4 linked regions of the Arabidopsis thaliana genome follow. The protein of the gene in region 1 interacts with the protein of each later gene in a pairwise test. Each region holds a gene or a part of one and is shown on either strand. Other genes may lie near its edges. The genes, in order: SK4, KAI2, ZTL and IBR5.

The links.
Region 2: the proteins of SK4 (region 1) and KAI2 interact in binary tests that used the Arabidopsis thaliana proteins (3 or more experiments, as listed by UniProt).
Region 3: the proteins of SK4 (region 1) and ZTL interact in a two-hybrid assay, tested with the Arabidopsis thaliana proteins (3 studies listed by BioGRID).
Region 4: the proteins of SK4 (region 1) and IBR5 interact in binary tests that used the Arabidopsis thaliana proteins (3 or more experiments, as listed by UniProt).

The regions. Positions count from the first base shown.
Region 1 is NC_003070.9:6,983,329-6,990,864, reverse strand, and holds SK4 (SKP1-like 4), read right to left. Parts: upstream 4,554-7,536; 5' UTR 4,436-4,553; coding exon 4,118-4,435; intron 3,960-4,117; coding exon 3,786-3,959; 3' UTR 3,534-3,785; downstream 1-3,533. Other genes in the region: ATSBT5.2 (Subtilisin-like serine endopeptidase family protein), read left to right, coding at 1-13; AT1G20150 (Subtilisin-like serine endopeptidase family protein), read left to right, coding at 504-682, 769-1,034, 1,131-1,248, 1,331-1,844, 1,914-2,014, 2,093-2,335, 2,447-2,561, 2,648-2,858 and 1 more; AT1G20135 (GDSL-like Lipase/Acylhydrolase family protein), read right to left, coding at 5,367-5,494, 5,582-5,831, 5,913-6,149, 6,238-6,368, 6,501-6,741; AT1G20132 (GDSL-like Lipase/Acylhydrolase superfamily protein), read right to left, coding at 7,370-7,536. UniProt on the Arabidopsis thaliana protein: Involved in ubiquitination and subsequent proteasomal degradation of target proteins. Together with CUL1, RBX1 and a F-box protein, it forms a SCF E3 ubiquitin ligase complex. The functional specificity of this complex depends on the type of F-box protein.
Region 2 is NC_003075.7:17,613,928-17,622,107, forward strand, and holds KAI2 (alpha/beta-Hydrolases superfamily protein), read right to left. Parts: upstream 4,730-8,180; 5' UTR 4,437-4,729; coding exon 4,069-4,436; intron 3,563-4,068; coding exon 3,118-3,562; 3' UTR 2,732-3,117; downstream 1-2,731. Other genes in the region: SRFR1 (Tetratricopeptide repeat (TPR)-like superfamily protein), read right to left, coding at 1-45, 178-222, 314-996, 1,261-1,370, 1,480-1,607; AT4G37480 (Chaperone DnaJ-domain superfamily protein), read left to right, coding at 5,334-5,657, 5,790-6,668, 6,829-6,914, 7,195-7,335, 7,504-7,669; AT4G37483 (uncharacterized protein), read right to left, coding at 7,666-7,893.
Region 3 is NC_003076.8:23,237,504-23,246,696, forward strand, and holds ZTL (Galactose oxidase/kelch repeat superfamily protein), read left to right. Parts: upstream 1-3,923; 5' UTR 3,924-4,093; coding exon 4,094-4,338; intron 4,339-5,168; coding exon 5,169-6,712; coding exon of another isoform or gene 6,713-6,753; exon of another isoform or gene 6,754-6,820; coding exon 6,821-6,912; 3' UTR 6,913-7,087; downstream 7,088-9,193. Other genes in the region: AT5G57370 (U4/U6.U5 small nuclear ribonucleoprotein), read left to right, coding at 7,308-7,967; VIN3 (Fibronectin type III domain-containing protein), read right to left, coding at 9,035-9,193. UniProt on the Arabidopsis thaliana protein: Component of an E3 ubiquitin ligase complex that plays a central role in blue light-dependent circadian cycles.
Region 4 is NC_003071.7:1,584,671-1,592,802, reverse strand, and holds IBR5 (indole-3-butyric acid response 5), read right to left. Parts: upstream 4,611-8,132; 5' UTR 4,266-4,610; coding exon 4,020-4,265; intron 3,760-4,019; coding exon 3,660-3,759; intron 3,588-3,659; coding exon 3,530-3,587; intron 3,413-3,529; coding exon 3,306-3,412; intron 3,228-3,305; coding exon 2,965-3,227; 3' UTR 2,637-2,964; downstream 1-2,636. Other genes in the region: LpxB (transferases, transferring glycosyl groups), read left to right, coding at 136-365, 479-578, 658-763, 1,140-1,366, 1,460-1,529, 1,639-1,877, 1,952-2,178, 2,279-2,462. UniProt on the Arabidopsis thaliana protein: Required for the transduction of auxin and abscisic acid (ABA) signaling pathways. Dephosphorylates and inactivates the MAP kinase MPK12.

The sequences.
Region 1 (7,536 bases):
CCGCACAAACTGAGATAAAATGGTATAAAGTTCAGCATGAATATGGAATAATAAAAATTAATGAACCGATGAAAGAGCTCAAGTAGATCAAACTATTAAGTAGGCAACAGTCCAAAACATTCGGTTTTGTGAAATTTAAAACTAATAATGGAAGTTGTCTGCAATAACTACTGCATATAAAGCAGAACATCACCAATTTTTTTGATCAAATTTAACTCTACCAATCTGGAGTACAAAGTTACAGTTACCAACCTTGTTAATAACCATGCAGAAAAAGTCTCCTTGAAGTCAGGCAATCTTGCTTTCACACAAAGGGCATGCATGACTGTGTCAAACGAACTATCTTCACTCCTCCATTATAATAGCAGGGCTTAAAAGCTAACCCTAACAATTCTTATGTATGTTAGTGATAGAGACTATTACGATATACTCATAGAACTTTTATAAGGCAAAAGTTAGAGGCAAACGGGAAGTAATCTTGTTTTGTTTCAAGAAGTTCAGCGATGATGAGATGCCTCACTATCACCATCATGTTCTTTATGTTTTTTTTTCTGTCTGTGATCCAAAAGTGTAAGTCTGAAACAAGTAAATCTGGAGATTATATCATATACATGGGAGCAGCATCCTCTGATGGCTCAACAGACAATGACCATGTTGAACTTCTGAGCTCATTGTTACAACGGTGATATCTAACTCCAGAACTCTTTAGATTTTCTAACCATTGATTCATGTTATGAAAATATTAAGACAGTATCTTACTTGCATCAGGAGCGGCAAAACCCCCATGCACAGATACAAACATGGATTCTCTGGATTCGCAGCCCATTTATCAGAAGATGAAGCTCATCTCATAGCCAAGCAACCGGGAGTACTATCTGTCTTCCCTGACCAGATGTTACAGCTCCACACCACACGTTCATGGGATTTCTTGGTGCAAGAAAGTTATCAAAGAGATACTTACTTCACCGAAATGAACTATGAACAAGAATCCGAAATGCATGAAGGAGACACCATTATCGGCTTCCTTGATTCAGGTGAGCAGTATGAAGTGATGAAATATTTATATGCGCTTTTTATCTACTTCCAGTAAAACAAATACTCAATGCAGCATATCCTGATGGAGAAAACAGGAATATGGCCCGAGGCGCAGAGCTTTAACGACAGGCACATGGGTCCAGTCCCAGAGAAATGGAAGGGCACTTGCATGAGAGGGAAGAAGACACAACCTGATTCTTTCCGTTGCAATAGGTAAGCTGAGACTGAGGAAAGTAGAACACATGTAGAGATCCGATATATGTTTGAATTTACCACCTCAAACTTGGATAAACAGGAAACTGATAGGAGCAAGGTATTACAATTCGTCATTCTTCTTAGACCCCGATTATGAGACACCACGAGACTTTTTGGGGCACGGGACACATGTGGCATCAATAGCAGCAGGGCAAATAATAGCAAATGCGTCCTACTATGGCCTGGCAAGTGGAATCATGAGAGGAGGTTCACCAAGTTCAAGAATAGCTATGTACAGAGCGTGCTCACTCCTGGGATGTCGTGGCTCGAGCATACTAGCTGCATTTGATGATGCAATCGCAGATGGGGTTGATGTTATATCCATATCAATGGGCTTATGGCCAGACAATTTACTTGAAGATCCGCTTTCCATCGGGTCATTTCATGCCGTGGAAAGAGGGATCACTGTTGTTTGCTCTGTAGGAAATTCTGGCCCATCGAGTCAAAGTGTGTTTAATGCTGCTCCATGGATGATCACTGTTGCTGCCAGCACTATTGACCGTGGCTTTGAGTCCAACATTCTTCTGGGAGGAGATGAAAACAGATTAATCGAGGTAAGAAGGAAAAGCCAATCAACGGACAAATCTCCATTCACATAACATCTTAAAGAATTTCTTTTGCAGGGTTTTGGAATAAATATTGCCAATATCGATAAAACACAGGCTTACCCACTTATACACGCACGATCAGCCAAGAAGATTGATGCTAATGAGGAAGCTGCTAGGTAATAGTTGCCTCGTAAAATTATAGAGTAACTTTGCTATACCTATACTAACAAGACAACACAACTGCAAACCTTCAGGAACTGCGCACCTGATACACTAGACCAAACCATTGTTAAGGGAAAGATTGTTGTGTGTGACAGTGATCTTGATAACCAGGTGATCCAGTGGAAAAGCGACGAGGTTAAGAGACTTGGAGGTATCGGTATGGTACTTGTTGATGACGAGTCAATGGATCTGTCTTTTATTGATCCCTCCTTTCTAGTGACAATAATAAAACCAGAGGACGGCATACAAATCATGTCCTACATAAATTCAACAAGGTTTAAGATGTCTCATTTCACAAGACATTGCTTTCAAACAGAACTAATAATAATATTTTTACCCAAAAAAAAAAAAAAAACAGAACTAATATATCATAATCCATATTGTAGAGAACCAATTGCAACAATCATGCCTACAAGATCACGAACAGGACACATGTTAGCTCCATCCATACCATCCTTCTCATCAAGAGGTCCTTACTTGCTTACCAGAAGCATCCTCAAGGTATAAGCCCTAATATTCATCATAAACATGATCTCAACAGTATTCACAGAAACTTCAAAAACAAAATATTGATAAACCTGTTACAGCCTGATATTGCAGCACCAGGGGTCAACATACTAGCATCGTGGTTAGTCGGTGACAGAAATGCAGCACCAGAAGGCAAGCCACCGCCACTCTTCAACATTGAATCAGGGACTTCAATGTCATGTCCCCATGTCTCCGGGATTGCTGCTCGTCTCAAATCCAGATACCCTTCATGGAGTCCTGCAGCAATCAGATCTGCCATCATGACAACAGGTGAGAAATCAAAATCAAGTAGATACCAGTTACGGATGATTGATCAGCTAGAGTTAACCCAAGTCAACTGTATCTGCAGCCGTGCAAATGACCAACACAGGTTCCCATATAACTACAGAAACAGGAGAAAAGGCCACACCTTATGACTTTGGTGCTGGGCAGGTTACTATATTTGGACCTTCATCACCAGGACTGATTTATGAAACCAATCACATGGACTACCTAAACTTCCTCGGCTACTATGGATTTACATCTGATCAGATCAAAAAGATATCAAACCGCATACCACAAGGTTTTGCTTGTCCTGAACAAAGCAACAGGGGAGACATATCTAACATCAACTACCCATCAATCTCGATTTCTAACTTCAATGGAAAAGAAAGCAGAAGGGTAAGCAGAACAGTGACAAATGTAGCATCACGCCTCATTGGAGATGAAGATACAGTCTACACTGTGAGTATCGATGCACCAGAAGGATTACTAGTCAGAGTTATACCAAGAAGGCTACACTTCAGGAAGATAGGAGATAAACTCAGCTACCAAGTGATCTTTTCATCTACTACAACAATACTCAAGGACGATGCGTTTGGATCTATAACATGGTCTAACGGAATGTACAATGTGAGAAGTCCATTCGTTGTAACCAGCAAAGACGACAACGATAGCGAACGTTAACGATAATCTAAAGAGAACACATTCATGTATAAAGAGCAAAAAGATTAAGCAAGACCAACACTTTCTCTCAAATATTTCTCATAAAAACCAATAGATGTTGTTAGTAGAACAAAGCATTAGGTTTTCATCGACAAGGACAACTCCAATCGAAGAGAAAAAGAAAGAAAAAAAAAACAATCCGAAATCTTGAAAGCTAAACACATCTAAATAGAAAGACTAGAGATTCCTAAACACCCTTCAGATCCGATCCAATCACTCGAACGCCCACTTGTTCTCATTGCGAACCTCCGCCTCTTCCTCAGGTGTGTAATCGTTCTTGATGTTGAAGTGTGCACGCATCTGCTCTGGAGTTTTGCCTCTCATCTGATCAGCCACGGCCTTGCACGTAAGGTCAAGAAGTCCACCGATGTTCAAATAGTTCGCAGCCTGTACAAACCAAAGAACCAAAACGATTAGTCAAATCAAAACGACATTCAACACACTAAAACCCTAACAGAATCCTGCAAAATCAAACCTAAATCCCCAAATTAAAAACCCTAATTCTAACAACATCAAACCTAAACAATGAAAGCGACTTTACTAACCAAGATGAGATCGAAGAGAGTAGGCTGATCGACTTTGACGAATTCGCTGTCCCAATTCTTAAGCTCGTCGTTCTCAGCGGAACCATAGAAATCCTTGTCTCCACCAGCTTCAGCAGCGGCTTCAACGTGCTTCTTGCAATACTCAATAACCTTGGCGAGGATGGCTCCGGTGACATTGGGAAGTGGAATTCCGTTATCGGCACAGTCGTCCTCAATCATGTGCTTAATCGTCTGGGACTTAACAGCGACGGCTTCCTCGATCTCGAAGGATTCACCGTCGGAGCTCTTAAGGATGATCATCTTCTTCGTTTCTGCCATCGTAAAAAGTGACGACTTAGGAAAAGTTTTTGAAGGAGAATCGGCGCTGCGATTGATTGTTGTGATGGTGTCAAGGTTTGGGAAGTTGGAGCCTTATTTATAGCCAATTTCTTAATTGGTATTCAAGTCGGTTTATTGCTTTTAAGTTTTTTTTTTTTTGCCGGCTTATTGCTTTTAAGTTAATCTACTCCTTTTACTAATAGGAGAACAGTAAAAAGTAAAACAAATATTGGAAATTTAAGTTTTTAAAAAATGGAAAATTTATGTTGTTTTAAATAAAGTAAATATTTTTACTTTTCCACAAACTTCACCTTAGCTGTATTCCGTTAATAATATTTACTTTTTCAGATTTACATCTGATTTCAGAAAATACAGTTTATCTACGTGTGCAAAAATCATTGACTAGGGTTTTTATGTTTTAATCAAAGAAAACCTCCACGTTTGTATGTAAAAATCTATGTGAAATTATGAATTATTATTTGGGTATTTTGTAGTGAATATCAAGGAAAATGTAAAAAGTAGGTAACAAACACCACAATTTTTGGGAAAAATATTGCGTTACACTAAACAAACCAAAATTAATAACATATTTATTTGTGTTGTATTTCTCTCATTTGTTGATCTTTGTATTTGTGTTGGATGGAAATCTTTTATCTTCTTCTAGTATTTTTTTCTTCTTTTCCAAACACATAACTTTTCTGGTTTGGTAAACTAAGAAGCACCAAAATTATTGCAAATGAAATTATCACTGATTCTGATTAATTGATGAGAACACATAAATCAAGCTTAACAATAGAGACCTACAAGCGGCTCATCGTCGATCGAGGAACTAATCATATTCAAACCAAGGTTCATGGTTCTCATGTCTAAATATAAAAAAGAAAGAGAAAATTAGTGACTAGGCGAGGTTGCTTTGGATGGTACTGAGGATCTAAGGTAGAACAGTTTTATAGGCTTTTTCAGAAGGATGGGCAAAGTCCCAGAACACGTGACTACCAGATCTTAAACACGGAATCGGAGTCATCACCGAGCAACAACATGGTTTTGCCGTCGTAAACCCTGAAATGTATTACAATGTAGAAATTAGCACCCTTGTTTTTTCTACCATATATATTCAAAATTTGCGTGTGTTACTCAATGTTTTACCGTATTGGCTAGGATTATTGATGACCTCAAGAAGTGAGTTATACATATCGATGTAGACGAATTTGCCATTGGGAAGCCTTTGGTTGTACTGATTGACCAAGTTAGCTACTTTGTCATTATAAACTCTAGCACCATAGTTTACATTCGGAAGACATATCAAATTTCCGGTAATTTGTCTCGCCCCTGGCAAACACCCTAACGGTAACGTTCCAAGAATTGCAAATTTTCTAGCTCCTAGATCATATAGACTCTGTTATTCATACAAAATAATCATTATAGGTAGAACAATATTATGAAGAAAAAAAGTTATAAATAAATGTGTGTTGTATACATTTATGAAGGTAGTTTTCCAACCGATGAGCATATCAGTGTATGCTTGGACAGTGTATCTCGTTTGTCTCTTCGGAGTTGAAAAATATGTGATGGCAAGATCGTTATTACCAGCAGACACTAGAATCACAGCATTGGCTATAATCTCTTTGACTTTAGCTGCATCTCCAACTTGTTGGTTTAACTTTTCTAAGTATCTTTGAAAGTCACTCACCTGATCTTGTACCCATATAACCCCCTATATAGTTTGCACATATAGTAAATGAGTAAGAACATATATTACTTTATCTTATTGAAAGTAAGAAGTACATAACAAGTAGATTTACCTGTATAGATGCAGTGAATTTGTCTAACCCTGAACCACCGGATGCAAAACAAACGCCGGTAGCGAGTTCACTATTTTTAAGAAATGGGCTCCGGAAAGCAGGTAAAAGATCTTTTACCCCTAAACCGCTGGCTACATACATATATACCATGTACATTTTCATTATAGAATGATTCTCGAACTATTTGATTACTCATTAGGTTAAAGAATGTGAAAGAGAAAATTGGTCTTATATATATATGTTGTATAGAGAACAATTAGTACCAACTAAATCTGATAGAACTCTTCCATTCCCGAATCTTCCTGTAGGAATACGATGAGGAAAATCGCGTCCATATGGCAAAAAATTGCCTCTTGATACTGTCATGAGCAAATTGTTGTTACCAGTATCGAGAATCGAATCTCCAAATGCAAGAACTGCTGAAAATGTTCCAGTTTGAGCTTGAACACATGAAATCCATATAGACAATAATACTACTAGAACTTTGATGTTTGCATTTTCCATCTCAAATAAATTTTAGGTTTTATTTTGTTAGTATTTTTTTTTGTTTCGAATTTTAGTTTCAATTTAGTTTTTCTTTTTTTTTAAAGAATTTGTTTACTTTATCGTCATACTTTATACAAAGGTGAAGAAGGGTTGAGAGAGTTCATCGAGTCCCTTGAATAATGGTATGAAACTTGTTTGTTTTTGTGGTTAAAGAACAACACTCTTCCCTGTATCACTGGACTGATAATATATATTTAGCCAATCCAGCAAATCAAGTCTTACCACTCAGTCTTATTCAATTATTTGACTGATTTACCCCCACAACAATGTGCAGATTAAATCATATAATTTGGTTATATTTCATGTTATCTAGTTGATTACTTTACTTCAGAGAGCTATAATATTATTACATCATCATGACCTAAAAAGAAAAAGATAATCATTACATAAACAGAATAGCTGTCGATCAAATGAACTGATTGATATGGATTTGATCTTTGAAAGCATGTGAAGAGTGATAAAAGTTTCTCTTAAAATCAATTGGTAATCAATATAGTGACTTACAATAATTTTGTACAATTTATAACAACTGCACAAGCTTTAAGAAAAATAAAAGCATACAATGTGAGTCATTTGATCACACTACTCAATTTAAATTGTGGATGTATTTCTCAAAAAGTATTTTGGTTAAGATTTTATAGAATCTTTGGGTAGGATGGAGACTATCCCAAAACATGTAAGCAGATACATTGGAGCACACAAATGTTGTGAATCGATTGCAAAGTGGACCAGCTTCCACAAATCCAGTTCCAC
Region 2 (8,180 bases), on another chromosome or scaffold:
TCTTCCTATAAGTGCCTCAGGGTAAGTTGGTTCTTCTTTCAGCACCTGCACATAGATAAACTAAATAGTAAAAAAATTGACCCAATAATGTTTTCCCTAAACAACCTCCGAAAAGAAGATAAACAGAGAAAAAAATAAGCAAGAGACACTCGCCAGAGATAAAGATCACCAAATCACCTTATCAAAAATAGAAATAGCTTTCGTATAGTTTCCTTCATTCACCTGTTGACAAAACAGAAGCTCAGTCATCAAAAATTTGGAAGCTATACCTTATAGCTCTTTTCTTTTCCTTTTTTTCTGTGTATTGCTATACCTGTGCAATGCCTCTAGAAAGTCGAAAATCCACACTTATGGAATGGGTTCCCGATATTCTTGCTATGGTGTACTTCTTATTTTTCCTGGATTCATCACTAATTCCGCAACGTGCCTCAGCTTTATGGCTCATTTTGCTAGACTTAATACTTATCTTGTTTCCATTAATCGATAGCTCCCCGAACCGATCGGAACTTTCAGCTAAATTATCATGCAAATCAGAACCATTACAAGGTTTACATGATTCATAATAACCATTGATTTGGCTGCCACACTTTCCATTCTCTTTTTCCTTGTACACTGATCCGTTACATAAGTCGGAATTACCATCAGATTGCTTGCTAGCCTTGGATGCAACTTTTGAAAAGCTTACTATCTTTGATTGCTCGCCCAATTCGCTAGATGACTCATGTGAGTTCCCATTGCTACTTGCTCCTGATTCATGGTTGTCCAGCTTGTCACTTTTTTCATCAGACTTCTCACTATGATAGGCAGGGGTCTCTTGCGGAGACTCGGTGGCATGACTTTTTAAAATCCCATCAATTTCTCGTCTTGCATCTTTTAAGAGTTCTTCTAATTCAAGTAACTGCTTCACATCTGCTGTCTGCTGCAACGCACTTTTATACCCTTGCTCCAAAACAAGAACAGCTTCCTGTTTTCTCCCCAAAGCCAAAAGAGCGCGTCCTAGATGGAAAAGCTGATACACTTGAGTTCACATGCAGTATACCAATCAAAGTAAACCATGATCCGGTAACCATAAAAAATTCCATCCCCGATAAGATATATAACTTAACAGATATTCTTAAGCAACCATTATATCGTCATAACTAGCAGGCACTATAGCATTATCTAAACCCCTAATTCTAGTTCTGAAGCTATCCCGAGAATCAAACTCAATTCCCAGAGAAACTATGAAGCACTCAAGTCAAAGCTTGGAAGTGAACTAACCTTTGAGAATAAAAGCTTGAATGGCAAAAGGTTCAAGCAGAAGTGCCTTGTCACAGTCCTTAATCACATGCTTGTGAAGCTCCAATTGATTATAACAAAACGCTCTATTGCTGAAACCAAATTCCCAATTCAAAAAAAAATACTGAGATTAACGGGAGAAAAATCATTGATACCGATCCGGAGAAATTGAATGAGAGAACAAAGATCTCGAAACCAAACCATATATCCAAAATTGAAGACTCCTTAGCAAGGAGCGAATCGAGAACTCGGATCGCTTTAGACCAGTTCCGTGAACTGCAGTGCTTGGCTAACTCGAATCGTTCCGATGTCGCCGTCGCCGTCGCCATTTTTTGAGCGGTGGTGTCTCCGATGGAGAAATCAATCGCCTATTTAATCTTTCTCAATTTTATCCCTCTTCTTCGTGGCCGTCGTGTCACGGGAACGATGGGTTTAGGGGTAAAAAGGGAAATTAGTACAGTGGAGAAAATGGTAAAGAGAGAAGACTTTGACGGAGAACGAAACGGGGAAGAAAAAAAAGTAACGGGGAAGAGAGAGATAGTAAATAAAAAAGTAACGGAGAGATAAGAGCGAAGAGACGATGATGGTGAATGTGAATGTGATACTGGTGGTGGTGCTTGTGGTGCTGCTGCTGCTTCTCAATAAGTGGTGCTAATCAAATTTTGGGGCAAGAGTCGCACACGTATGAAGTTTCTTGTCACGTGACTTTTTGTTGTGTATATATGGGCCTAGCCCACTTATTATTTATTACCCTTTTACAATGGGCTAGCTCTGTTAATCGTCTTGCCAAAGAAATTCTAAGCAAATTGAAGTTAGGTGTGTGACTGTATTGGAGAACAAATTTGAAGTATATATATGTTCTCAATTCTTTCATGACTATGTAAACATTTAAATTGTATGACCTGCAATGAATTTTAAAAAAATGGAAGTTTAATCATAGTATTTGACTTTTTTTTTGGGTAGGCTAATCATAGTATTTGACTAGTGATGAAGAAATAATATTGTACCAAATGATATTTAAATTTCAATAATAAAATAATTTTAAGAAAATAAATAGAAGTTTTATATAAAGTGAATTATAAAATGGAAGTTTAATCATAGTATTGACTAGTAAGAAGCAATACAATATTTACCATTTTGTTTTGTATCACTAATTTTTTAAAGCTATTTACTTACCAATCTATAACTAATTTCATAAACAACAAATCGAATAAAATCTGAGCAGGCGCGTCAATAAAATTTGAAAGTTATTAGTGATAAATGATAATATAGAAAACAATATCTTTTGCACCGCATCCCTATAATAACATCAAACAAATCCATAATTTCATAAGCAAACAAACCTAACAAAATATGACTTAACTCCATCCTAATTCAAAACCCTAAATTTTCATTTTACTTTGTTTAAAACTTGGCTAATTTTTGTTCACAAACAAACAAATTTCAAAACCATCACAATATGTATGTTTTATGGTTTGGATTACCCATCCATAAATGCAAACTCAATGCTAATTCCTAGTATCACATGTTAATTACTCTTCACACAGTATAGCACAAGCACTCTTGCAAAGTTGCAATAATTCACTATGGACCATCAATTACGAACATCACTATTACATCAAGCAATAATGAGCTCTGAGCAAAGCTGTGGACAAAAGACAGAGACTTTTCGTTAAACAAGATAAGAACAACAAAGATCAAGATACTCAAGATAAACGAATCAGAACCAAACGACAACGAAATAATGTTCTCAATAGACTAGACAGACATATCACATCAGATATTTTTTTTCAACTTTTCTTACATCGTTTAATAATTAACTAATTAAATCTCTTACAATCACATAGCAATGTCATTACGAATGTGACGGAGGATGACAGGAATAACAGAATCTGGTGAGCTAAGCTGAGGAAGATGACCATCAGAAGGAATAACCTCGACGACGGATTCACAGCCAAGATTGGCGTGAAGATACTCGGAGACAACGACTGGTACAGCTAAGTCCTTAACACTTTGGAGAATGTGACACGGAACAGTGACAAAAGGTAAGATCTGTCTCATGTCACTTTGGAAAATGGTCTGGCCGACGGAGAGAGCTATGTCGGGACGCATATTGAAGAGTGTTCTGCTGAATTCTTGAACGGCGATGGAGTCCATGTCGCCACCGACGGCGAGTGGAGCGAAACCTAAGCACCACGCTTTGTAGTTGCTTCGGATGGCTTCGAATAGTTGGTTTAAGTCTTCTTGTTCGAATCCACCTTGGTAATCAACATCGTTTACGTATCTATAAACGTACCAAAACAATATAATTTGATTATATATGTTTCTTTTGTCAGAAGAAAATTAAAATATATAATATACTGTGTGAGCACCGTTTCAACAATTTTTTTTAAAAAAAGTGTAAGTAACACCTCAGTAAAACCAAATAAAAAAAAACAAATAAACAAATGGGTATTTCATGATTTTTTGTTCATAATTTACGGATTTTTATTGAAATATATAATGAAATGCTTCACTGATTTTGAGAAATAGGATAATTCAGACAAGAGGATAAACAAAGAGGCACTTTGTCGAAATTATGTCAGAATGAGAAATAAATATTTCGAAATAATAGATAATTGTGTAAATTTAAGGACTTAAGATGATTTTTTTTTATTTAAATTGTAATGTTTAATAGTTTTTATGAAATCAGACAAGAGAAGGAACAGAGAAGCCCTTTTGTCTAAACTATGTCAGGATGAGATAAAAAGCAAAACATATTTCTATGTACAACTTGTGAAAAAGTTATACCTCGGAGAAGCAGAGATCATGACGATTTTGGAGAAGAGATCAGGACGGTTAAGAGAAGCCAAGACACCAATCATGGCAGAAACAGAGTGGCCAACAAAGATACAAGACTCAATCTTGAGATCTTCCAAGATTGCAATCAAATCGAAAGAGTAGCCTTCGAGATTTGAGTAACGATCGAAGTCGAAATAGTCAGGGTTGGTCGTACCGGCTCCCATGTTGTCGTAGAGGACGACGCGGTAATCGTCGACCAGATGTGGAACCAAGTGTTTCCATACTGACTGGTCCGTGCCGAACCCGTGACCTAACACGATCGTGGCTTCTCCTGAACCAATCACCTTCACGTTGTGAGCTTCTTCTACCACACCCATCTCTCTAAAGAAGATTCTTCTCTGGTTTTCTTCTTGGTACCTCTCTTAGTCAGTTCGTGGAGAAATTATGATATTTGTGTTGTTTTAGAGTGTTACGTATTATTCTTTATAAAAAAATTCGTATCTGTGGAAGAGGAAATAAATTATTTAAAATATCGCGATTTACAGGTGGCAAAAAAAGGTGAATGGAACCATGTTTGTTGGATTGTCAAACATCGCTATTCGTGATAATTTGTTTTTTGGAATCAAGCCCAAAATATTTTGGAACATTTAATGGAGTACATGACGTGGAGTTACTGACTTCTGTTCAACAATAAAATTGTTACATTGGGTTACAAATACATGAACCAATTATTTTTAATTTTGTGCATGAATTTCAACAATGCATTAATGCGAAAGAAAATTAGTTTCAATCATTCAAAGAGTGGCAGCAAATAGTCAAAAGCTGATATAATTATTATTTTAACAACACTAGTTAAATTTCGCATGTATACAACTTGCAATGAATATAGCATCTAAAAACCTCATAATATTTGTTTTTTTCTGCTTGACTTTAACTTGTCAGTACTTTTCGATCATTTAGAAGTTAGAAGACATTAATTATTCATGGAATGCCATGGTGAGTATACGACCACGTATTCACATCCACTTCCTCATCATTTTAAGAGTCAAAAATATCTGTGAGAGGATCCTGGCCCATTAAAATTCAAGGCCCATTTAGTGTAATATGGCTTCATGTTCTCTCTTTCCTAAGACCGTTTTTACTGTTGACCAATAAAGTCTGAACTCGTGATGACGTGGCGTGAAATCGAGAGACCCACGTGTCATCGGCGTGCCGTTATCCTCTTTCCACTTCCGGTCTCCGTTCCCACCTGAGTAAACCATACTGGTCGTGAAATGACGATTCTCGCCGGGTTGATACGCCGGCGTTTTAGTAGATTAGTTCCGGTTCAACTGAATTACGGTTTCGAACCGTCGCGAATTCTCTTTAACCCGAGTCAAGGAAGAACTCGGTTGCTGAGCGGCGAGGCTGAGTCCAATCGGAACGAGTTTCCGGTGGAGAACGCTTACGATATCTTGAATGTCTCCGAAACCAGCTCAATCGCAGAGATCAAAGCATCATTTCGCAGACTCGCCAAGGAGACTCATCCTGATCTGATCGAATCCAAGAAAGATCCATCAAATTCGAGACGATTCGTTCAGATTCTCGCTGCTTATGAGGTACAATGAAGAAAGCTTCACTCTTCACTCTTATGATTAGTTTCAAAATCGAAAATTTCAAGCTTTTCAAGCTTTTGTGATAGAGTTATAGCTTTAGAAGTGTCTGATGAATGATTTGTGGTGATGATACAGATTCTATCAGATTCTGAAAAGAGAGCACACTATGATAGATATTTGCTATCTCGGAGAATGGTAATGAAGAAGCACTCGGGACAAGGTTATATGATTCACAGGTATAAAACAGGATTGACATTGAGTCAAGAGATGGAAGTAGTTGAATGGTTAAAGTGGTATAGAGAAGCAATACATGATATAGTATTGGAGAAGAGAGTAGCAAATGGTACTGGTTACTTAGATGAACTTGAAGAAGATTTTTATTCAGCTATACGAGCGGCCTACTTTGGGCCTGATGTTGAATCTGTTGAGCTTCTTCCTGATTGTTTTGAAGCTGAGGAAAGGTCTGTGTATGATACACGAGAGGTTTTGCATTTGGTATCAGGACGGGATCTTTTTGGTATGGTTTCCTTGGTTGATAACTTCCTTGAGCTTTCTTCTGCTTGCTCAAAGAAATTGGCTTTGTCGTCGTTTATGGATTCGGACCTTGGTCAAGCAGTTGAGAAAGGCAACAATGACATGATGTCTGCTGAAAGGATTGGTCTTCAGATATCTCATATACAATCTTCAAGAAGTAAAAACCATGTTTCTGATGCGTATAAAGATATTCAGCTGCATGTATCTGGAAGAGTTGTTGCTACAGCCATTAGGGTTCCCCCAAAAGGGTATCATGAAAAGAAACAAATTGAGGGTGATCACGATCTTATACACGTTTTCCTCAATTCAGATGAAGGATCTAATCATGGCACTGAATCGCCTCCGGGAAATGAAAGTGGTGCCAGACTTCTTGTTGGAACTATAAGTGGTCTTGGGACAATCCCAGATGAAGGTTCATGTTATGTCTATGATGGGAATGGTGCTAAGACTCATGTGATAATGAAACATAGGACATTTCTGGTTTGTGACTTATATGATCTAGCATTTCTTTTTATGTACCTTTCGCAAATTACAACGTGTACTTTTTCGGGGAATTGTTCTGTGATGCATATAGAGATATGATCCGCTAGTTATTTGATGGAATAGGCATGTATGAAAATTCTTCATCCACACTCTACAGGTGAGACATTTGCACTGGTACAAAATTGGGGAAAAGGTTTCCATTTGTGAATGTAGATGCAGTAGAGCGAAGTTACCACCAAGCAAGTAAGCCAAATATTATTTTTGTTTTATTTTAGTTCTGGCTCACCTTTAACTCGATAAAATAACAAGATTGGACAGCCTTTTCACTGTTTTCATCTTCGTTAGAATGCAATTCAATAAATTGATATCTGGAACACAGAATTCTGTAGTTTCCTTTGTTGAAATGCTGAAGTAGTCAGTGATCTTTGTTGGAATGCTGAACTTATGATACTGATCCCTAACGTAGCCTTCATCTTTCTTACCTCAGTGACATGAAACCATAATTGCATGGATTTGAAAACAGGTTTTGGTTGTTTGAGCCTCGTTGTGGTTTGCATGATGTCGGAGGATGGTATGTTGAAACTTATGGGAAAGATAAAAAGAGCAGGACGGTCCTGGCACAAAGATTCTGGGATGGCCTGGAAGAGGGGAGTACACTGGATGGGTAAGCTTACTATACATATGAAGAGAAAGCAGCTTAAGATATTCTACTGGCATCCTTGTATCTGCGTTGACCACATTTTTCCTCAGTCAATAAAGTCTGGTTACATCTCTGTATTAGTTGTTGTTTGTGAAGTAATCTAACTTATATATGACTTTTTGTATTCTCCAGGAGACTGCACCCAGGTATCTACTTGCTTACACTAGCATATCGTACTCTTGATCTTGAAGATGAAAAGAGAAGGAAACGGTCAATATTGGAGATCCTCGAGGCACGGTTATCTAAAACATTGGATTGGTGTAAAGAATTGGTTAGAAGAAAGGGCCTTGGAACTTAATATGGTAAACCTTCTCCCTTTCCGGATGAAGATCCAAAGATGATTGGATTTACAATTTCCGCATGGATGCTAGCACTTCCATTTAGACTTATGAGGTTGTGGCTAACAAAATGCTCACCAAAGATGGGAGTGCTTAGTTGTTTAAGGGGATCTTGCAGACCAGAAGGTGGTTTTAAAACCCAGAATGGACGGGACCAGAAGGAACACAAGAAATGGTGAAACATATACTGTGCTGGGGTGTTTGATCAAAAAAAAGAAGAGAAATTCTGTGTTGGGGAATGAATCATGTGTACTAAAGAAGTTAAACCACAGAATATTATATCTAAGGAAATTAAACTTCTCGGAAGAAACTGACTTCTTACAAGATATGCAGTGTTTGGGAATGAATCATGCTAAAGGACTAGGTTTCAAAGCGACTCATTAGACTTGTTCAAAATACCATTATCTAATGAAACTAGACTTGATTTTCAGAAGGAAAATGAAACTAGGCTTGGTTCTTCAGCTTCTTCGT
Region 3 (9,193 bases), on another chromosome or scaffold:
TGCATTTAAAGCTTTCAGTAGATTTATAGACAAACAAGGAAAAACAAAATAACCTTTTAGTAAATTTTCTTTGCTCTGACATGTACCAGAAAAAGAGAGGGTTAATGACATACGTTTATCTTTTTTTGTCAACGGTGTGAAGCATAAGATTATTCTTTTCTTCATAAATGGACAATCAATATACATAATTGTGTTCATATAAAACAAATCTATTTGAAAGTTTTTGTTGAATTCGGTTCCATATATGTGTAAGAAAAAGCATAAACGTTATTTAAGATCAATAAAGTTCTTATAGACAAATGAAAAATGCAACTTGTGGAATAACACTTGTTACTTTTTTATTAGTGAATCGATATGATCCAAACGTATATATAAACCGTCTACAATATATATTAATTTTCATTTATAGAAGTTGACTTGTTATTTCACAGTATTTTTCACTTTTGACGGTTTGAATCGCAAGCATTGGTAGTATAGTTACATCTATTTCGTCAGTCCGAGAGATTTTACTTGCTATATTGTCCATATATATGTTCTATTTAATTTAGTCTGTTTTTACTCATAGATGCTCTCAAAACTTTATAATGATATGTTTTTACTCATAACTCATGTTCAAAACTTTATAATTATATGTTTTACTCATAACTCATGTTCAAAACTTGTCTCTTTTTCTGTTTAAGTGCTTAGTGCACATCTGCCTACATAACAATCACGCATGTTTACACATAGAAATTGTGTTCAAAACTAAAGGGTTTTTCTCTATAGTAATATTTCTCTTTAACGTTTATCCCTAGGCCCTAGCAAGTAATATTTCTTTTCAATATGTAGGTATTCTACTTAGTTTAGATACAAATATAATTATGAAAAAGAATTAGAAATAAGTTGGATGGTGGGGACAGATTACGCAGCGTTGCAACATATGTAACGTGAAATGATGGTTCGTACAACCTCACGTACACAATCCACTCAAAGTGACGTAGTGTCTTTGGACTTTGCCTTCGATGCATCTCATGTTCTCCTGGTCCCACGATCCTACCTCAATTTTAGATCACACAAACCCATCCCAATTGCTTCATAAAGGTTGTTAGTTTTAGTAAACACACTCAAAAGTGTTGAAATTATAATATTACATATTTTGCTCAAAAAGAGCTAAGGCTTTTTAAATGTACAAACAAATTCTCTTTTGTTATATATTTCTAGATTTGTCTACTTTAAACGTATGATGTGTTTAACACTTCTTTCAACAATATACGTGTATGAATAAACATGTTTTCGACATTCCACTTATGTCAATATCAACACATAATTTTATGGCTAAGCAGTAACCACCAGCTGCTGTGTAAAATCACACTTTAAAAAAGTTTCTTTAGCCTACATCTCTACGATCATGATGCATTGGCAATAACAAGATGACAACAAATTTTACAAAACAATTCTCATACCATGTGGCTTAAGAGAAAAGGCCAGCGAATTTATTCGAACCCAACATATATAGTGAAGATGTCTTTTTCAATCTCTTTTTTTAACAAGTATACTTTTTTTTTTTGGTAAATTTCTTTTAGTGAATTTACTTTCATCTTGAATCATTCTTTTTATTTTCAATTCAGTTTTGTTGATAATAGATTTTCATGAACGAACAAGGTTCTAAGAGATAATAATAATAAAGGGGGAAACAAAACACATGATAATAAGAATCTAATAAACAAGAGAAAAAAGAGAGGTGATGAATAAATGTAGAAGTCGAATCATACAAGAGGTGCTTGTTGGAAGGTCGTTGGACCAACGCTTATTGTGATATTCATGTTCGTATTCTCTATGTAGGTTTTTCTTTATATCTTCCCAGCATATACGTAGTTATTTAAGTTTCTTAGAAAATTACTATACATTGAATATCTGAAACAATTAATCATGATATTATGGAATTTTTTTTCTTTCAAAATTTGTATAAAGAAAAAGGAATTTTATAGTGGGGGCATTTTAGCATCTCGTCGAAGATATGAATGAATAGAGAATTTTGCAAAGTGTAAAGAAAACAACCGACCAAACCCACTTGTTCTCTCACGTCCTTTTTATGTGTTAAATTGTCATACACAAAAAAAATATTTACAATTATAATTTTTCTAAAGTCTTTAATGTCAAAATTATATGATCTATTTATATCAGTAATACAAATGTAAATCGCTATATTTTATATTTTTGTTAAAAACTAAATACCATAATTTAAAAGAAATATTTTCTTTTTCTTTTTATTTGCGAAGATATTGTTTAGTCGTATGGCATTGTATTAGTTACTTACTTAGTAGTTTTACAGAACGAGGTGAAGAATGTCGGAAAAAAGAAAGAGGTGACGAAGAATTTTGACCAATTTGCTACTTTGTAAGGGAAATATAATACAAAAAAATTGTATTTAGCATCATTACAAACAATTTCTCCATTTTGTTTTAACTTTTACTATCAATTTTATTATTTTTATACGAAACTTATAATTAATAACACGAGGTAAGCCTGTTTTGTTAAATTGAGTATGTCAATTCATTTCATGAGATAATAACCTTCAAATAAAGTTCATAAGATAGTTGCCCCATATCGGTAACTTAGGCTTATAAAACAGTCTTATTATTGGTGATATAAAACAGTACTTAACTACTTATATATAAGTACTTACAACTTATTCTTATTATTGTTGATATAAAACACTAAAGTTGGGTTAAATCTTAATTCCAATTCAGCTGTTTGATGTTGGTTTAAAAGTCTGTTTGCACCTATGATTCTATGATATACCGAACCGATTCGATTAACCAGTAGTTACGAGAAGTTATTTGTTTCAACTAACTATCTATTGATTTGATGTAACTAGTTTGGTCCTCTGCGTATAAAAGGAACATTACAGAAGAGATTAAATGATAGGCAATTGATAATTGAGACGGTTCAAGAAAAGATTTAGCAACCAACAACCTTAACAAATTTTCATTTACGTAACTATAATTATAGATCTTGCTATTTTTCCATTTTATGGCGTCTTCTTATTACGAAACTCATACTATTCAGTCACATAATCTCATTTACTGGACTATAATGGGCTTTATTGTAATGGGCTTTATTGTAAGACATGAGCCCACAAATTTGGAAAGTAATAAGCTTCAGCTCAGCTAAAGAGAGTCTAAAAACCAAAGGGAAAAATGTCATTAAAATCCCCAACTTATTGAAAAAGTTGATTTAAATCCTCAACTTCCAACGAAACGAAATAAATATCAAACTTTTGTTGATTTTCCAAATAAATACCAAATTTTGGTTGACTTTCCAAATAAATATCAAACTTTTGTTCGAGTAGCCATATTAAGTATGACATTAACAGACCCTGTTATTAGAGTCCATTTTTTGTTAACAGACTCGTTAATTGAAAACGACAATATTCCCTATAACAATAAAACAACGTCGTTATGTCATAAATGCTCAATTAAATCCCAATTTCAAATCATATGAAGATTTAGGGTTAGAATTTTGCTTGATTTGGAGATTTAAGATTGGATTTGGGAATTTAATTCGGTCGTTATAATAAAACGAGGTCGCTTTCTTGTTATAGGAAACAATAACGTTTTAAATTAACGGATCTGTTAACAGAAAATTAACTCCGTGAACGCAATATGTTAATCTACTTAATATTATACCTAATATGACCATATATACGAAAGTTTGGTATTTATTTGGAAAGTCAACAAAAATTTGATATTTATTTCGTTTAGTTGGAAGTTGATAATTTAAATCAACTTTTTCAATAAGTTGGAGATTTTAATGACATTTTTCCCAAAAATCAAGGGGAGTTTTATGGTTTTATCTACTTGACCCGACAGAGAAATCCGGACCCGGATAAAATCCGACCCGTTCGAATGAACTCATACGGCCGAGATTTTTCCACCAAACTCGACGGTTACCACTCGTTTCTTTGTCCACCATCTTCTCTCTCTCTCTCTCTCAACCCCCGAAAATCTCCTTTTCCCAAAATTTTCCGATTATCTCACGCCGGATTGTTTTTCAATCGCCGTCTTCATAATCTCCGGCGACTGAAATCAGTCTGGTAACTATTTGAATTTTCATGGAGTGGGACAGTGGTTCCGATCTAAGCGCCGATGATGCTTCGTCACTGGCGGATGATGAAGAGGGAGGTCTTTTTCCCGGAGGTGGACCAATTCCATATCCCGTTGGGAATTTGCTTCACACGGCGCCTTGTGGATTCGTTGTTACTGATGCCGTTGAGCCGGACCAACCTATTATATATGTCAACACCGTCTTCGAAATGGTTACAGGGTATCGTGCTGAGGAAGTTCTCGGAGGAAATTGGTTAGTTGTTTTTTTGTTATCTTTGTGATTAGTGTTCTAATTGATGCGAGGAATTTCTATTTTTGGTTATTGGCTCACTTTACCAAATTTTGGCTACTTGGTGGAGTTTGATTAAGGTCCGTTTAGTTTGAGGATAGGTGAGGAATGTTTGTGATGATGGTAATCTGAAGGACACTCTATTGATCACTAGATTTAGTATGGATGGATACTTTGGTGGAGAGAAAACAAAGATATGTCTATTGTTAGATAATCATTAGAGTCTCTGCCAAATGGCAGAGAAGACTCAGTGGAGTCTCTGTGTGTGCCTAAGTATTCTCTGCCTTCAGATGTTTATTCAGTGATTGTAGTTTTCATATTAATCGAGCTCTCATGGCTGTTTTTGAGCTGTTTCAGCTGCTCCGCATGTTAAGGAAACTTGAAAGTGTATATAGATGCCGAGATAAAGCGAGCTATCCCTGTGTAGTTTCTCGGGGTCGTAGCGAACACAATAAATTCTTTACAATGTTGATGTGCAGTGAACCAGTGAAAAGGCTAAGTCCAATGCGTTTAGTTGTGTGTTAGTTTTCCATGAGAGAAGTGCTAGTAGCTTCCTTTATTAATAAGCTTTGATCTTACAGGAGGAGCTGATCAGTTCAAATAGTTGTTATTCTTGAACAGAATGAAAATCTGGTTAGGTTATAATTATGCTTGTTTGGTGTATTTGTTTTTTTTTTCAGTCTCTACATGCACGGCCAAATATTTTGTCTATTGCTTTTCCGCATCAGTAAGTTGGAGATAAATTTTGTTTTTGGTCTTATATTGTTTCTTAATTAATTTCTCGGATTCTGCAGCCGCTTCTTGCAATGTAGAGGACCGTTTGCTAAAAGAAGGCATCCATTAGTTGACTCTATGGTTGTTTCCGAGATAAGAAAATGTATTGATGAGGGCATTGAATTTCAAGGCGAGTTGTTGAACTTTAGGAAAGATGGATCTCCGTTGATGAATAGATTGCGGTTGACTCCTATTTATGGAGACGATGATACTATTACCCATATAATTGGAATCCAGTTCTTTATCGAGACAGACATTGACCTTGGACCTGTTCTTGGATCTTCAACAAAAGAAAAGTCAATTGATGGGATATACTCAGCTTTAGCTGCTGGGGAGCGGAATGTTTCCCGAGGAATGTGTGGGTTATTCCAGCTGAGTGACGAGGTTGTGTCTATGAAGATATTGTCACGCCTGACACCAAGAGACGTTGCATCTGTTAGCTCTGTGTGCCGCAGGCTATATGTGCTGACAAAGAATGAGGATCTTTGGCGAAGGGTTTGTCAGAATGCATGGGGAAGTGAAACAACACGGGTATTAGAGACTGTTCCTGGTGCTAAAAGACTCGGTTGGGGCCGCTTGGCTAGAGAACTGACCACCCTTGAAGCTGCAGCTTGGAGAAAACTTTCGGTTGGAGGTTCTGTTGAGCCTTCTCGCTGTAATTTTAGTGCTTGTGCTGTCGGGAACAGAGTTGTTCTGTTTGGAGGAGAAGGTGTGAATATGCAGCCTATGAATGATACCTTTGTTTTAGATCTGAATTCTGATTACCCTGAATGGCAACATGTCAAAGTGAGCTCCCCTCCTCCAGGACGCTGGGGCCACACGCTCACTTGTGTAAATGGCTCCAATCTGGTTGTATTTGGTGGCTGTGGTCAGCAAGGTTTGCTGAACGATGTGTTTGTCTTGAATCTCGATGCTAAGCCGCCTACTTGGAGGGAAATTTCGGGTTTGGCTCCGCCTCTACCAAGATCATGGCACAGCTCATGCACCCTTGACGGAACCAAACTGATAGTCTCTGGAGGCTGTGCAGATTCCGGCGTTCTTCTAAGTGACACGTTCCTCCTCGACCTTTCAATAGAGAAACCAGTGTGGAGAGAGATTCCAGCTGCCTGGACTCCGCCTTCCCGGTTAGGCCACACACTATCGGTTTATGGAGGAAGAAAGATCTTGATGTTTGGTGGTCTTGCTAAGAGCGGGCCTTTGAAATTCCGTTCGAGTGATGTCTTCACAATGGATCTAAGCGAAGAGGAGCCTTGTTGGAGGTGTGTGACCGGTAGCGGAATGCCTGGAGCAGGAAACCCAGGAGGAGTAGCACCACCACCAAGGCTAGATCACGTTGCAGTTAACCTCCCTGGAGGCAGAATCTTGATATTTGGCGGCTCAGTGGCAGGGCTTCACTCAGCGTCTCAGCTTTATCTACTTGACCCAACGGAGGACAAACCGACTTGGAGAATACTAAACATTCCAGGAAGACCGCCTCGGTTTGCTTGGGGACATGGCACTTGTGTTGTGGGAGGAACACGAGCGATAGTGCTAGGTGGTCAGACCGGAGAAGAATGGATGCTAAGTGAGCTACACGAATTATCACTAGCGAGCTATCTCACGTAACCAAAGAGAGCCTATGTATGAAAGAGAACCCAGCCATAGAAGAAGATGAAAAAGGGTTCTCGGTTAGGATACTGGAGCTTTAGGGGAGAGCGACTCAGTGGTGGGACTTTGGTACTGCTCATATTTTTTAAGTCCTTCTTCTTCTTTCTTCCTCATTAGGAGGACTTTTAGTGCTTATATAATATATATAGTGAAAATGTCATCTCTCTCTTTCTCTCTGTAGTGCTTGTTTCTGTTGTTCTCTTTGAAGTTTGAGAAGTGCATTTGTGTTCATATTCTGTAAATTTTATTTATGATTACAAACTTTAATAAGATCCTTTCTCTTCTTATGCTATTGGACCACTATTTTCATTTCCAATTTCATACTTTTAGTTCGGAGACAAAATGAGATTATTATTATTTTTCCATTGAGTATGATGAATATAAGAAAATTGGAAAAATAGAGGATAAAACCCCAAATTTTCATTTTAATAGAAAAAATTGGGGAAGAAAATTTACAGTGTTGAAATTGGTTAAACCCTGACACTAGCACCTTCCTCAGTCGCATCACCACCATGTCAGAGCGCGACCGCCGCGAACGAGAGAGGGATAAGGACCGTGAACCAGACCGTGATAGACGCCGAGGTAGAGACGACCGTGACCGTGACCGTGATCGAGACCGGGAAAGAGATAGAGAGCGCGACCGTGACCGAGGGCTTAGAAACAAAAAATCCCGATCTCGTACTCCAGACCACCACGCTCGTGCTCGCCACGTGCGCTCTCCGGAGAGGTATCGCTCTCGTTCCCGCTCGATTGACCGTGACCGGGACCGGGACCGTCAACGACACCACAGGCGCAGGTCTCCTTCTCCAGATGCTCCGTCGCGAAAACGGCCTCGCCAGGGTTCAGTAGACGATGAGAAAGAAAGGAATCGCAAAAGAGTAGTGACTGATTCCGTTGACGAGAATGCGTCTACTATTACTAAGAAGAAGGATAAACAACCAAGTGATGCTGCTGATAATGGCGGAGGCGAAGATGAAGAAGGAATGGATGTGAATGAGATTGAGATGATGAAGATGTTAGGGATTCCTACTGGATTTGATTCCACAAAAGGCAAACCAGTTGCTGGTGCTGATGTTAGTGGTATTAGAGCTGTAACTAAGCGTCAGCCAAGACAGTACATGAACCGTCGCGGTGGATTTAACCGTCCTCTACCGGCCGAGCGTAATCGCTAGTCTTCTCAAGGTTAGGCTTTCCACTAAGCTTCCCAAGTTTTTGTTCTATCAATTGGAAGATAGGTTTAGCTCCTATGTGTAGTATGATTAAATTAGATAGGACTTAGTTCTTAGACTTGTTGGCTGCATTAGAAAATGAACTCATCAGCATCTTTTCAGATAATGGATTCTAAGTACTCATCAGGTTCAGCATTTTGCTTTCTCTATATTACTCACTTGTTTTGCTTCTCAATCTAGTTCACTGGTGGTTGTTTAGTTAGATCTATACCAGAGATCTTTGTTTCAGGTGATATCCTCACAAGCTCTATATACAGATAGTTCACTCGGTTAGTTTTGTTATCTGCATGAAGAACTATTTTAGTTAATCCAGAGGAAATGGAACCAGTCTTGTGTTTTTTAGTTTTCTTGCCTTGGCACATTTGAATCTGCATCTTACAAGATCAAGTTGTGCGAGTTACTGCGTAAAACCGATCATTCCACCTATGTGCTGGTATTTACCAATAGGTCTCAACTCTCAACAGCTGAATTTAGAATTTACTTGCCCTTGGATCATTTACTCTGATGAGATTAAGCAGTTTCGGTTTTTCTGATTATTAACTAGAATCTTTCGTGTCTCTGCATCCAGTTTTTGTTTTCGCATTGATCGATTTCTGCTCACCAACCTTTGAATATATCTTGCAGGTCCCTCTAACGCTGTCTTGAACACTAGTCAAAAAGATGAGGGCTAGAGCTGCATTTCCCAGATAGTAGTTACTAGTTACTCCAATTCTTCCCCAGACTCTGTTCTGATGTCTTATAGAGAACAAACTTGTACTCTCTGAATTTGGTTGGAAACAACTCGTGAGTTATTTCTTTTTCGAGATTTAAAAATGTTAATGTTTGTGTGTAATCTCCCGGCTCTAACTGTCAGACTATGGTTCATTTGAAATCAGGCTTATTCATTTTTGAGTTTTTCACTAAGCATCAGAAAGAAATTGGAAATGCGTACTTACATAATTTCATTCCAAAATTATCGTTATGGTTTACAATATCAAGCGAGTTAATAAATAGACCGATTTCAAAAGCTTTTAATGCCAAAGCTTGAGGCAGATCCCAGCAGGTACTACACCATTTGTCGATGATCTCTTACTCAGTATACTTTCTGAGAATGTATCCACAAGCTGTTGTCCCAAAGAAGACAGATCCTCCATAAACGTCTCAACAAAGATCTTCACAACTCTTACTTC
Region 4 (8,132 bases), on another chromosome or scaffold:
AATAACATGCTGATAAGAAGTGGGCTTAAGAGGCCCATTAAAGTCCCCATGAGAAATCTTGCTTTCATCGCAGTTCATTGTTTAACAACGTCACTTTCACTCTTTCAGAGTTTTTGATTCTCTCTCTTCTCCGAAATGATGTTTCAGATTACAAAGAGCAAACTTCGTTTCCCTCTCTCAACATTCACTAAGAGATACTCATCATTTCAAGCTGCTAAATCGGTGATTGACAAGGCTGCAATCGATGGGGAGCTCAGAGTTTTCATCGTCTCCGGCGAAGTTTCCGGCGATAACATCGGTTCTCGTCTTATGTCCTCGCTTAAAAAGCTCTCTCCTTTACCCATCCGTTTCAATGGAGTTGGAGGGTAAGCACTTGGGTTTCCCCCAATTTAGAAGTTTCTTATGAAAAGTTTTGATTCTCAATTGAAAATTTCATAAAGTTGGAACATTTGTATCTTTGCTTCTTACAAATTGATAGATCCTTGATGTGCAAGAAAGGATTGAATTCGTTGTTTCCAATGGAGGATTTGGCTGTAATGGGTGTATGGGAGCTTTTGCCACATTTGTATAAATTCCGTGTGAGTAACCTTTTGAATGGTTTGATATAAAGCTACTCTAGATTCTTTTGATTGACTAGTCTAGTTTTTGAGATACTAGGTGAAGTTGAAGGAGACTATTGATGCTGCGGTTAAGTTTAAGCCACATGTTGTTGTGACTGTTGATTCAAAGGGCTTCTCTTTCCGTTTACTTAAGGAGTTACGAGGTAAACAACACAAAACTTGTTTCATCAAACTTGTACGAGAGAATCATTGAGCTTTAGTGAATAGAATGCTTGCTAAACAGTGTCGCTTAACGACTAAGACATACTAAATTCAAAGCTTCATTGTGGTTTTCGAAAAGCACAGTTTTCTTGAATAGTACCAAGATTTATGTATGGAAGCTTCTTCTCCAGTAGGAACATGTTTTTGCGTAATTTGACACTAATCTCTAGGATGATGTCCTTGATTTTGTTTTCTGTAGTAGAAGTTGAAAAAGTAGAGAAATAGGAACCTTAGAAATGGCTTTTTGAAGCCAAACATTCCTGAATGAAGTCATATATATCATGTAGGACAATGGAGGAATGCTTTTTGGCTTTGCAGCTAGATACAAGCAGCAGCGGTTGGAAAATTGTTCTGTGCATTTTCACTATGTCGCACCGTCGTTCTGGGCTTGGAAAGGAGGAGAGTCAAGACTTGGAGGTCTGTCTGAATTCGTTGATCATCTTTTCTGCATTCTTCCGAACGAGGAAAGGGTTTGTAGGGAGCATGGGGTTGAAGCAACGTTTGTTGGACATCCTGTTCTTGAGGATGCTTCTGAGTTCGACCTTGTATGCGTTTTCTTCTTCTTCTTCTTGAATTACCTCAGTTTCTATGACACTCTGTCAGAATTCTAAGTGAAATGGTGCTCTTTTCTGCCACAGGTGAGAAGGTGCAAGCCTCAGGAACTGAAACTTGAAGGCTTGAGTTTTAGCGAACACTCAATACCTTCTGGTAATGTGAAGTTTATCAAAATGATTTAACTTTTCTACAGATTGGATATCTACTTTTATTGATATCTCATTGTTCTTCTGCTGCATTGCATAACTTTTCATGAAACAAGACTCCACTGTCATTTCGGTTCTACCGGGGAGCAGATTACAAGAAGTTGAAAGAATGCTACCCATATTTTCCAAAGCAATGAAGCTACTCAAAGATCCGTTTCCAAAACTAGTAACGCTTATCCACGTCGCATCCAATAATCAAGTTGATCATTACATTGGAGAATCCTTCAGTGAGTGGCCAGTTCCAGCAATACTAGTCCCTAGTGGATCCACTCAGCTTAAATATGATGCCTTTGGCGTAAGTCTTTGAAACCTCGTTCTAAGTGTCTCATCTGTTTACTCCTCTCATTTTGCGGTGTTCCATAATAACAGGCGAGTCAGGCTGCATTATGCACTTCAGGAACAGTTGCTGTTGAGTTGCAGCTTGCTCATCTACCTTCCCTTGTTGCTTACCGAGCACATTTTCTAACAGAGCTATTAATCCGTTACAAAGCCAAGATACCTTATATTTCTCTCCCAAACATTCTCCTAGACTCCCCAATCATTCCTGAAGCTTTGTTTCAAGCTTGTAACCCTTCAAATCTCGCATCGATACTAGAGTATATCTTTTTCTTTTCACCCACTTTTACTTTATATTTTGTTATCTGGCAATTGAGAAATGGGCATGATGATGACGTGAGATGTTGTTTGAAACTGTAGGAGACTACTCTTGGATGAAAAGATGAGAGAAAGACAAGTTGTTGGTGCTGAGAAGTTGATACAGCTCTTGCATCCGTCAGAAAGCAGAATGGGCAACTCAATTCATTGCACTGGTTTGGAATCTCATCGATATACGCCAAGCATTTTAGCAGCTTCGACTATTCTTAGTTATGCCAGGCGTTAAAAACTATCGTGAGTCACATGCCTTTGTTTGATACTAGAGTACGCTGAGATACTTGCTATAATCTAAGGTTGAATTTTTTTCATAAGAGTTCTAACATATGGTAAATTACAGTTAAAGGCGAAATGATCCATGTAGATTAGAATGTCTCAGCTTATTTGGTTTGCAGTCTAAGACAAACAGTCAAAAAGGGCTTTCGAAAGCATAAAAGGATAAAGTGAAAGTATTGAATGTCTAAGCTTATCTGCTTTGCAGAAACAGATAAGATCCTACTAGTGTGGCTTGTCATAACTGGTTTAATAGTATATTTCGCTGTAAAGATCGATACAGAATTGTGGGAGAGTGAGGAATAAACCAGACAAAGATGCTTCCAATCTCATGTTCTCAAACCCCAAACTCTCTCAAGCAATGCACCAATCTCCATGTACAAAAAAGAAAAAGAAACATTCTCACAACAGTATATTTGTTGATGAAAATTCTTGCAAGAGTATATGATTATCTGGTTCTAAGAGCCATCCATTGCAATATCACCACCAGTTGTTGGCTTTGGTGGAGTTGCTCCAAAAGTGAACTCCTGAGGAGGGATACTTGAAGCAGGAGATGAAAATATAGAAGAAGTAGGAGCATTGTTGAACACAGGAGCTTGTGCTTGATTATCAATCTTAGGGAAACCAAACCCAAACGTTGGAGCATCATTAATATTCATCGCCGACATCATCTCAGATCCGAATATCCCCTGCTCAAACTCCTGCAGTTGTTGGTAAAACTCTGTGTACAAAGAAAAAGCAATGAGTAACAGTTTCAAGAACAATAAGTAAGTTTCTAATCCAAAGTCTAAGTACTTGCCTGGACTTATGTCAGTGCTTGGTCTCCGTTGTTTAACCCACTGATGACTCTCAGCGAGTCTCCACCCTTTTCGTTTCATCAAGTACGCTACAACAACCGCTGGTGATCTGTCATGTAATCGAAACACAAAACATATCACTCTATTAGTCTAAATAATTAATGGTAATCATAAGAAAGCAGCCGCAAGTTTAGGATGAGAGTAAGAGAATGATAAATGTACTCACCTACTTTTCCCAGACATGCAATGCACAAGAACACGTGCCTTGTCCTTCTCACATTGGTCTACACAAAGCAAGACCGTCAAGAAAAAATCATAAAGATGAAATCTAGAAACTTGAGATAGAATCAACATACCTAAGAACTTAATAGCATCATCAAACTGTAAAACTTTTTCATTATCAAGACCATGATAAGTGAATGAATTCCTGTAGAGATTCTGGCACATAGGAACCGTCTGAAACAGAGTAACAAAAACAGAGTCAATACCAACAAATAGTAAACAACACATTCCTCTCTATTACCATAACAGGAACTTTAACAGAAACCATAAGTCAACAAAACGTATAAGTATAAGAAAGATTCATCTACAAGGCAAAACCCTAACTAAACAAACCGATTCAAAGATTCAAAGATCTTATCTTTTTCTTAAGGGTCATCATCAATGTTTAAAACAAAAGCAATTCATGAATTCAAAATCAAAGCAAAGAAACTCACATTAAGAACACGAGAGATTCCTTGAGTCTTAAGAAGCTCAGAGCGAGAAGCGTTGTCGTAACTACCGAGGTAAAGAAACTCAGGGAGAATCTCCGACGGAAAAGCACTGACGTGGACTTGTTGCGGCGCCACCGTATCGGAAGAAACAGGCATACAGTGACCACAGACTCCACATACTTCTCCTTCCTCGTACTTATGGTAATGCCCACAAATCGAACAAGGGTTCTCTCTTTCTCTCTTCCTCATAATTTGATTTCGAAAATTAAACCTAGATCTGATTTCTGATCAAAACCCAGATCAGAGAAAACCCTTGATTTCACAGACGGAGGAAATTAGGGTTTGGGTTTGGAGAAATTTGTTTGAACGGAAGAATTGGGAAGGACGGAGAAGAAGGAGAGACTTGAGAAGAGAGTTTTTTTTGTATGAAGAATTGTTTTCTTCTTCGATGGGATTAATACTGATTCGGATAGATACGTGCCACGTGGAGTTTAGATTTATGTAAATCTTCTTTAAACAGTCTCTCAGTTTAACAGGTTCTGTAATAGATACGGGAGAGAGAGGATCTCTAACTGAGTCAAAATTGTTAACTGAGCCATTTATTGCAGATTTACTTTTCTTTTTTTTTGTTCAGGATTTACAGTAAAAATAAAAAAGAATTTTTTTTTTTTATTTAAGTATATAGTCCATTTTTTTATTTAATTTTAAATTTCCAATAATATTAAATCAATATACATGACAAAACGTTTAAATAAAGTTACAGGCCCAAATACACAATAAAAACCGAAATTAGGCCGCATGTCCAAATAGATGGCAAAATGCCAAAAACCGAAACAAGGCTCCAGGTCCAGAAGAGAAACCAACTGAATCTTCTACTGAAAAACGCCAAACCAAGTGACAAGGAGAGATGGACATGGGCGGATGATCTGTTGAGCTCTTGATAAGAGATCGAGGTGACAACAGAGGATGTTTTTGATCTCAAGAACAACTGTAGAGGCAGGTTTCCATATATAGTCCATTTAATGATTGGATTTTGCTAATTCTGTTAGGGATATTGTTTTATGCTAATTTCATACTTATTATTATGTTAACTTGGTTTTAAAGGGTAAAGTAAAAGTTTAAATAATAAAGTTATTTAAATTTCTTTTATTTTTGTTGTCGACCGCTAATAATTTAGCTTAAAAGAGTCATTCCTAAGAAATGTTGTTTACATAGGTAATATGATGCGGTTCGATACGGATTTTTCTTGTCAAAGAATCCGCTATAATATTTACACTACCAAAAATTAAAGATGAAGAAAAACTTGTGAATTCTTTCTTATTGTTCCGTAATTCCTCCAAATACTCTGAGAAAGTCGTCCATTCGGTTGGAGAAGACACTATATTCACCAGGTCTGAACAGTTTGTAAAAAGTTATTTAAACTTTATTAAATACGAGAACAGTATTTGATAAGGGAAACTGAAATTAAATTATTTATTTTACAAAATTTAATAAATGTGACTTCTCGCAACGTCAAAAATATATGTACATATATATATATAATAAATGTTACGCAAATTATGTAGAATTCATTGTCATTATGTATGCATAGTAATTAACTTTTTTACGTCTACATAAACGATTTCGATCGTTGTAAATGACATTCATTATTTCAATTACAAGAGAAGTAATAAAACATTTTTCTCCTCTTTTGTCTCTTTACTATTTAGTATTTTGATCACTTTACAAGTTTAAAAATAATCTACTATTTATATTTATATCCACCATAAAAATAATTCACTTATTTGTAACAATTTGTAAATTTATAATTCGCTATAAGTGTTAAAATATAGGAGATTGACATAAATGACACTAAAAAGGTTTATTATTGCAAAAATGACACATTCTTTTAAAACTTGTACAAATAGCACACAAAAATTTTAATCCTCTAAAAATTAATTAAAATAAAATATAGAAAATACACAATATCTAATCTCATTTCTTCCAAATCCAACAGCTTTGCCTTCGAAAAACCCGACGACTTCGTCGCTCACCGGATCAAATCTGAAATCTTCAATGACACTCTCAACTAAGCCCTTGAATGAGATATTCTCATCTACCTCACAAAGGGATCCACCTTTGTTTGTGTCTACAAGAAAACCCACTAAAACTTATCATTTTGTTCACACTCTCCACAAACAGAGTATATCTCTACCATTTATATACCAACCCTAAAGAAAGCAACAACTAATACAATAAACAAACTAGAAGATCTATAGTATAAAAACACCAAAAATCTACAAAACTTTCAAATACTTGGACATGACTTACAATTATTTCAGAGATTCGCTTGTTTTTTAATGTTTGTGGATGATATATTCCTGAGACAACAAGACTAGCTGCACAAAGAGGCAAATATGTCATGTTAGGTGTTCAAAATCGATTGATTTTGATGCTTATTTGCAGTGAATCAATTCACGAATCAACAAATTCGCCTAATTCCACATTGAACGCCCATTATACCAATATTAATCGTCTAATTTCGTTTCCGAAACGTTTCGAAAACGAGAAACGCACTACGGGAAGAGTTCCCATGCAACATAGATTATTATTAATAGAGCCAAAAAAACCGGACACTAGTAAACCAAAACAAACATGGGCCATTATTTATAACAAGGCCTAAAAATGAAAACCAAGCCCAACAAGAAAACTCTTAGGCAAAGCAACACACTCTGTCATCTCTAAACGTGGTGCCGTACAAATGAATTTCATTGACTTGTTTACACGCGTCCAACTCGTCATCTCTGTTTTGTCTATCGCCGGATTGGAATATTCGCCGGCAAAGAGAGAACAGTCGAATGATTCTTTCTTGACCTGGTAATCATGTGGAAAAATTAACGATTCTCAAATAAGCAACCAAATCTCTTTTGATTTCTACTGAGAATAAATGATTCAGTTCTTTTTGTTATAATCTTTTCCACAATACCATGCTTTAATAGATCTTCATGCGCTTTCTTAAACTTCCATATCTCTATTGAATTTTTAGATCTTGAGATCTAATCCGATTAGAAGGTTAATTTTTTGAAGCTCCATACTCTTCCGTCAAAGCACAAACCTTAGAGACTTTCTTCTTCAAAATTGAATGTCACATATATCAGAACCATTAATGTCACATATATCAGAACTATTAGAGATTTACCTTGAAGTCCAATGTTTTTAAACCCGACCCGGACAATGAACCGGACTACCTTCTTGGTTACTGGGTCATTGGGTCAACCAGGTTGAACCACGAATCAATTTTTTTTTTTTTTTTTTAATAGAGATTTTAGAGTTTTAGAATTTTTATAAATTTAAAAACAAAAATAATCATATCATGTTTATAAAATATAAAATCAGATTATGTTTAATAAAAAGTAAAATCATTTACACCAAAAAAAATAATATATATATATATATAATATATAATATCAAACAATAATAATGTGATTAAACTTTTTAAATCCAACTAAATGTTTAATACTGTAACAAATATAGTAGGAGATTACCAATGCCGAAAATAAACTAATAAAATATTGTGAATTCACACAATTAATACCGGGTGTCTCACTCACCATTCGATTTATTTTTTAAGACGGCACTGTGAAGTCTTCGTCGAAATTTAAAATATCAAATGAGTTTAACAACTGAAATTTTTTTTAAAAATGATTAAATAAAGTATAAAATCCTATATTTTATTTCAAAATGAAGAGAGTTTTTTAAAACCGACACCCGACTGGTTCAACCGGTTCACCAGGTCATGGGTTAATGGTGAGTTTTTGTGGGGTTTTTTCGTTTTTGAACTTGTCGGGTTTTAGCACTTTATCCAAACCGGAAAAATGTTCGGATCACGATCAACCAGTCGGACCGGACGGTCCGAGTCGGGCATGAAAACATTGTAAATAACCATTCCATTGTTGTCGCGTTTGACTCGAAAAGCTCCTACAGTGCACGGTTTGATGATTAATCAGTCTGGTTAACGATTATTTGCAAGAATCAATTAATTTCCGGCTTAACCGATTGGTTAAATATGATTAAACCATTGGTTAACTTCATATCTAGAGGACGAATTTAAATCCCTGATAAATTCTAAAAAGTCCC